Caenorhabditis elegans: one gene and its partner. The protein of the gene in region 1 interacts with the protein of each later gene in a pairwise test. Each region holds a gene or a part of one and is shown on either strand. Other genes may lie near its edges.

Region 1 (3,756 bases):
AAGTTATAAACTTTAATTAAATAGTGTTGATACAATATTTATAACACATTTCAAGTGTTCAAATTTTCAGCACAAGCTGTATTCTTCCGTTCACTTAAAGAAAAAAATATATGCATGAATTAATGAAAGCTTAAAAAATCGCTGAAACTGTGAAGAAATTTTAGGTTTCGCTATTTTTAATATATATTTTCAAATTAAGAATTAAATTCAAATACTTACATTTCCTTTCACAAAGCTTTGTGGCTCATTTGCTCTGTTCGATTTCAGCATTTTCTCCTGTTCTGGACTAAAAGCCGGTGATTTCTGTGGAGATATGCAACCTGGAATTTATTGATCATTAAGTTTTCAGAATAGATGAGTCAGAAACATATTTCAAAATATTCTGAGTCTCTCTTCTCTCTTCATTTTTCAACCGAATCAATAGTAAATTGCGCGTTGCAATTCTGCGTCTAAATTTTTTGAGCGCTATTTCACTAGAATGCACGAGAAGACGGAAAAACGTCGCCGCTCTTCTCTGGCTCCCCTCAACTACCGTAATCCACGTTTATTTTTCTCTGCGTCTCAGAATCTCTAGTTCAGAGGATTCAGGCACATGAAAACGTGGGAAACAAAATCGGAAATGTATATGTGAAACATGGAAAAGGAGAGAATTTCGGAATAATTAGAACTGGGACTGGAGAGAGAGAGAAAGGTGAAGGCTACAATTAGGCAGGTATTCAGGTAAAGAAGAAGAAGTAAGTGAAAGTTTCCTATTTGAGAGAAGGGAGAACTTATATTTCTTACTAAAGCTTTTGAAAATAGTACGGTAATATATATTTTTCTCAGCAAATGAAATAAAATTTCAGTGAAACAGAAATTTTTTTAAATTCCGCTCACTTTTTTCAACGTTTTTCAAATATTTGTTTCCAAACATTTAAAATTGTTGTTATGGTAATTGAATTTTTTCTGAAACTGTAGAAAATGTATTATAAAAAGCAACTCACTTTCATCACTCATCATAGCAAAAATTTTTGCGTTTCTTATGAAAAGCTCTGCTCATTTTAACCTATACTGTTTGTTTAGTTTTTTTCACGGTTTTTTTTGTTTTAAAGTTAAAGCCAGCAATACTGTTGTGAAATTTTCCAACTTTCCTAGAAGACATCATAATGTGAAATTTTTCGAAAAAAAATTACAGTTTCATTCATAGAATATCATTTTATTTTTTGAAATTAATTCAATCATCTCGATGTGTGGGATCGACTGGCCGAAAAATTTCAAGAACATTTTGAAAACTTCAAAACCTTCCTCTTCACTTCCACTTTTGTTTAACGTTGTTTATAAATCAGATTACTGTACTCTGATAGAAAACGACACAGAGAGAGAGAGAGAGTATAAGAAAGAAGAGACGCAAAGAAATATTGCGAGGGATTTGGCACGGTACAATTGCAACGCGGTTCGGTTTGCCCTCTCACAAACAATTGAATTTATAAGCTCATGCCGAGAGAGAATAGAGACACACAAATCACTTTTTAAATCAATTTTTTGAAATTCCAATGATGATTCATGATTACACTATCCACTGTTTCATGATGTTTATAAAAACTCGTAGGTTTTATTTAACATATTGAGTAGTTGATGTAAAAAGTTTCTGCAGTTGAATAAAAGAAAATTACACCAATTGAGTATTATATATTTAGGTTAGTTGAGACGTTAAAAAAAGTTCTGCTCCAAATAAAACATTTTTTGGTTAAAATTTCAATGAATGCAGACACTGTGCGCTTAATTCACATAAAAAAAATTTTAAATTTAAAATCAACAAACTTACTAAACATTTTTTTATCGAAATTGATTTCCAAAAAAAATTCGATGATTCAGACGGGCAATCGGGGGACACACAAACAGGAGGAGTCTCTGTGAATCGAAGCCCTCCGCCGGGTTTCACATGACGACTCCGCCTACTTTGTATGCCTGCCAGCCAATCGTCGATGACTTCTTTGCCTCTTCTTCTCTTACTTATTTTCATTTTTCCAGGGATTCAAGCTGCTCGAGGGGGCGATGTTTTTATTTTCCCTGTAGAATTGATTGAGATGTATTTTTAAAAAATTAATAGTAAAAAAGAGGAATTACTAATACATACTTTAACCAATATTCGAAAAGCTAAGTGAATATAATTTTCGTATTTTTTTTTACTGTTTCAAAATTAGAATATAATTGAAGTAATTTTTGAGAAAATAATTCGATTTTTGTAATCATAATGAGTAATGCTCAACAACAAGTCGTTTTGTATTTAAAATAATTTCTGAAATATTAGCTAAAGTGAATCCATCAGCGATTGAGAACGGAAAAAAAACAATTCGAACTATTTTCGGAATTTTTTTTGCTGTTTCAGATGTTAAACTAAAACCATTAAAACAAATGCCAAGTTTGATAATTTCTTGTAAACACTTTTCATATGTTTCTAATACGTTTCTAATATATATTTAAAAATATGTATTGGTAAGCAAATAATAGTTTGGGGAATTTCCTTCATTCGAGTTTGGCCAAAGTTTTTTACCGAAAAATCGATTTTCGTAATCTTTAGTTCAATTGTAAGATTTTTGACATACTACATTGTTTTTATTTATCAATGAAAAATTATTACAAAAATTGGTTTTTATAAATTGTCGTTTTGTTTTCATATATTATAGGTCTTACGTCCCACAAGTCCTGAAAAAATTAGGAGAACACGGCGAACAAGATGTATTTTAAGCTCTTTCCGGAAAGGTTTGAGTTTTAATTTTTATAGTTTAAAAGTTCATTCAACCACTTTATGAAACATTTGAATTTTTGAATGTGTTTTTTTGAAAACTTTCTGAAACCTTCTAAACTATATTTGCGAGGAATTTTTTTTTACAATCTATCCCTTCACACTTTTTACTGTCACCACACACCCAAAAAACCGTGAAATTTATGAGTCAGAACACAACGACGGAAACATGGAATGGGACAAGGACACCAACGAACACGCAATCCTGAAAAAAGTTAAAAGTAATATCTTCAGAACCTCCCTGAAATTTATAAAGAAACTGAAACATGATATGTGATAACTTTGCAAAACAATGTGAAAATTTTAAAACAAAAATACGAAAAACCAAAAAAAAAGAGTGAAAAAATAGTGGAAAGATTATTCAAGCTTTGAAAAAATGAAGCGTATTCATGAAATTTATAAAACGGTCAAAAACTTTAACCAACGTTTTATTTCAATAATGCCTAAAAGCATCGAAAAGTTATCCATTTTTTAATTTACATTTCAAACGTATTCTTCAAAAAAAATTTCTTAACGTGTGTAGCTCATTAAATGGTTACTGAAAAGTGACCTATCATGTCTTGGAAGGGTTTCAATCAAAAATATCAAGAACATTTCTACTAGAAAAAAGTGAAAATTATGGCCCAAATTAATTTAAACATATTTATGAAAATAGTGAAACGGTAATTTTTTCGACCAATTTTTTGTTTCAGTGGCGCCAGGATATTTCAGACTCACAAAAAAATGACCCAACATCAGGAACACCTTTGGAGTTTCATTTGAAGTTTTTTTTGACATTTGACAACATCCATAGACAATCATTTGATTAGCGACATTGGCATATATCAAGAACCTGAAAACTGTCATGTTAAACACTGAAAAAATAGTTGGCCTAACCATCCTGAATTTTATCAAAAACCTGAAACATTTTATTTAATAGTTTTTTATACAAAAATCAGTGACGTCGTTCGTTTATCAATTTACTAAGAAAT
Region 2 (3,756 bases), on another chromosome or scaffold:
AACTTTGCAATTTTTGCGCCAAAAATATGGTACTCAATCTCGACACGACAATATTTTTTATCAAATGTAAACGGATGTGCGCCTTTAAAGGGTACTGTAGCTTCAAACTTTCGTTGTTGAGGAATTTGCATAGATTTTTCATAATTCTCCGTTAAAAAATGTATTTATTTATTTTAAAAAACCACAAAACACATATATTTTATTTTACTAATCGTGAGAAAAACTATGAGCACGAAAAGTTGTATTTACATTACAGTAGTCTTTAAAGGCGCACACGTTTTCACACTTAACAAAATTGTTATCGTGTCGAGACCGGGTACTGTATTTTTGGCGCAAAAATAACAAATTTTCGCGTCTTCTGAGTCTTTTAATTCTGAAAAAAAAAACAGAATAACACCCATGACCCATCTGAATAAGTCCGTACACCTTTAAGCGTTTCAGAAAACTGCGAACTTACGATACCATTTTTCTTTAATGACACGGCTAGCTTGTTGCAATATTTCATGTGGAATCTTAACATGGGAAGAAGGTACAAAACCAGATTGATTGTCCGAATTTCGAATATAGGTCCACTCAGGATCTGATATATTCAAAACTGTGACAGATTCTCCATCTTTCACAGATATATCATCTGGAGCTGATCCATCAAATGACTGTAGTATTTGAACTTCGCATATCTCATCCTGCAGATAGTATCAAAAGAATATTCAATAGCTTTATTCAAAACAAACCATTTTAAAAACCTCTCCTTCTTCTTTTTGAACAGGAAGACTGTCGATAAATCTCTGCAAATTTGATTTTTCCCAACGGCGATCAAGTGTCGCGCTGGATCCGATCACCTTTTTCTGAAAAGTATTTGATTTGATTTCTCAACGGTTCCATTCCCGAAATTCTTGGAGATCAAACCGAAATGGGACTCTCTGACATCACGTGGCTTCTAAGTTGTTCTCACTAAAGGTGACAATGATTTTCACCACTTTTCTTCGATTTTTCAATGACAAAACTATGAAATATCTATGAAATATTGGAAATAATTAGGAGTGTGGTTACAGTAATTCGCAAGGCGCACATTCTTTTGCGCATATTTCGGTCGTGTCGAGACCGGATACAGTAGTTTTAAATGAATATCATTAAATGCCACAATTACACGTGTTGTTGCATTCTTTAAGATTTGCACTAAAAATAACTTTTCTAGAACATCTAAAACGCTCACCTTTTCACCGTGTTTTGAATTCAAAAGCAATTTACAATATGTCTGTGGAACAAATCCTTTTCTTCCATCAGATACCTCAACATAAATCCATTGATCATCTCGATAAATTGCTTTAACTGTAGTGCCACGGGTTACACTAATTTCGTCAGCAACCTTAAAAGTGAGAGGTTAGAAATTGGGGTAATTTGGAAAAACTGAAAACTATACAGTTGCTGTGAAGTTTTTTGTTAGTTGTCCTGGAGTATAAGGATCAAAATGATCCACTTGCATACTGTCAACCCATCCACCATTATCGGGCACTGAAATTCATTTTTGGAGGTTTTATTTTTAATCAGCTAAAATTAGAAAAAAAATGGGACAAACTGTGCTCACCTCTTCCAGATACAACTTTCCAAAAAATGCTCCTAATGCCCATTGTTTTTGTGCGACGAAAAGCCAATGAATTGCTCACAAAACACGGTTAATCAACAGAGGCATGTCAAATTATTGTTTGTTCACCGAAAATTGGATCTGATTGGAAAAAAAGATGGAGTCTCGGGAGGGAAAGGCATGAAAGGCGGACAGTATTATTTGGCTTCAGTATAATGGCTTATTTTGCCCTAGAAATAAGGAATCTGTGATATTTTATGTATTTTGGAGATTACCATGCAGAGATGCATAAACTTTTGTATCTTGTTTGGAAGTTTTCAATTAAAAACCAATAAATTTTAATACCAGTTACGTGGCAACCGCTTACTAAATACAAATTCGGAGGCGAAGAATACAATTTTAATAAAAAATAATTTATTTCCAAATAAACTAGAAAAATGACTATTGAGTTTATCAATTGTGCAGGATGTAAAGCCAAAATCGCCGAGGAGGATGTCGAAAAGGTAAATCCACAATTGGTGTATTTCCTTTAAAAAAGTAATTTTTAGAACAAAGTTGTCTTCTTTCTGAATCGAATGTGGCATCGGGATCATATTCAATGCATTTTTTGTAAAGTTAGTTTTGGAAGCGTTCGGAAAAAAGCACTTCCAAAATTTCAAAATATCCAATTTTAGCTTCAAATCTCGGACAATCGTTATTTCCGTTCATCAATTGATCCAATGAAACCATCATGTTATGCATGTCATATTCAAACAAATCATCCATCTTGCACAGGTATTTTTAGTTCTTCGAAGTACTGATTAGTAGAAATTAAAAATTGAATGATATGGCTTGTGAATTCGGTTTTGCACGGGTTATACGAACTTTGATTACTCAGCTACATATAGGAAAGATTAGAGCCCCTTACGATTACTTAAAAAACAAATTTTACAGGATGCTCATTGCCAGTAATTGAACGAGGACTTGTTGCATTTAATCGTCTCTTTCATATTGATTGTTTCCGTTGTGCAATCTGTAACAAGACAATTCCTCAAAGAAAAGGATTTTATGAACGTGATATGATGTTTTATGATGACGTTTGTTATATGCTTCATATCAAAGATGTTCTATAACATATTGAACTTATTTGAAAAAATAATGAATAGATTTTGAACGGTTTAAAGTGTATTTTTGTGGGTTAACTATAATTTCTAAGATACTGATTTTTGAGAGATTTCAAGACAAATAGGGAGTAAAGTAGTCCCTTTCGGAACAATTTTTCTGTGATTTCTCTTGTTCACTGACAAAAACTGAACAATTTCAGTGTTTCATCTAATTAAAACATTTTTTTATCAGAAACATTGGACTTTTTTAAAATTTATAACACGATTTTTGAAATTTTACACATTTTGAAAAATGCAATTTCTGAATCCAGAGTTTTGTCAATTTTTCAATCAATTTATAGAACTTGCAAAAGTGAAACAATAATTATAATATTTGAAACATCACAATCATAATGAGCATCCTTCTGTTCTTTCATCATTTAACCTCCTCCATTCAAGTAGTAAAGTGTGCATCTAGTAACTTCACACCACAAAATGTTTCTGTGGGAGAAGAGCTACGGGATGGATGAGATGTGTCACCTGTGTCAGATCAAAATGACGTCATATAGATCTTAGTTTTCTTTTTCGAGTAACTACGTACTCGAAAATGTTTTGTGACTTTTTAAACATGTCAGTGTCAATCTTTTAATAATTTTTTTTTGTTTTTTGTTTCTGTCTGATTTTTTTTTGTGTAATAGTCTTGAAATCTTTTTGAAATCTAAAAGTCTTCTCAAGTCTCAATTCACTATTTCAATATTTGTCATTTTTACGTTTTTACAGAGAAACTAAACATTTAACTTTTGTTTCAGATGAAGTTTTGGCATATTTCCAATTTTCCTTGCAAAATTTTTTTTAAATATTGAACACTGTTGAGTGAGGAAATGTTAAACTACACAACATTGAAATTTTTAAACACAATTAACTAAATATTATTAAACCCAAAAACGTAGGAAATTTTGTTTTTTTTTCGGGCTACTTCCGCAATTATAATCGACTGTAAATAAAAAAGAATTCTAAAATTTTTTGCCATGCTTTGCTTCAAATAGGAGTGATTCCGAACATTCCACACTGGCGACACTCCACCTTTAATAT

Evidence for each region. The genes of interacting proteins can lie anywhere in the genome.
Region 2: the proteins of lntl-1 (region 1) and C26C6.8 interact in a two-hybrid assay, tested with the Caenorhabditis elegans proteins (one large-scale study listed by BioGRID).

The regions. Positions count from the first base shown.
Region 1 is NC_003282.8:5,805,162-5,808,917, forward strand, and holds the start of lntl-1 (LIN-24 (Twenty-four) Like), read right to left. Parts: upstream 1,933-3,756; 5' UTR 1,812-1,932; coding exon 1,805-1,811; intron 1,626-1,804; exon of another isoform or gene 1,604-1,625; intron 1,239-1,603; exon of another isoform or gene 1,218-1,238; intron 910-1,217; exon of another isoform or gene 889-909; intron 809-888; exon of another isoform or gene 788-808; intron 321-787; coding exon 220-320; intron 1-219.
Region 2 is NC_003279.8:7,503,953-7,507,708, forward strand, and holds the start of C26C6.8 (SH3 domain-containing protein), read right to left. Parts: upstream 1,691-3,756; 5' UTR 1,629-1,690; coding exon 1,586-1,628; intron 1,513-1,585; coding exon 1,421-1,512; intron 1,367-1,420; coding exon 1,214-1,366; intron 846-1,213; coding exon 732-845; intron 684-731; coding exon 463-683; intron 1-462. Other genes in the region: C26C6.6 (LIM zinc-binding domain-containing protein), read left to right, coding at 2,020-2,085, 2,131-2,196, 2,257-2,356, 2,516-2,694.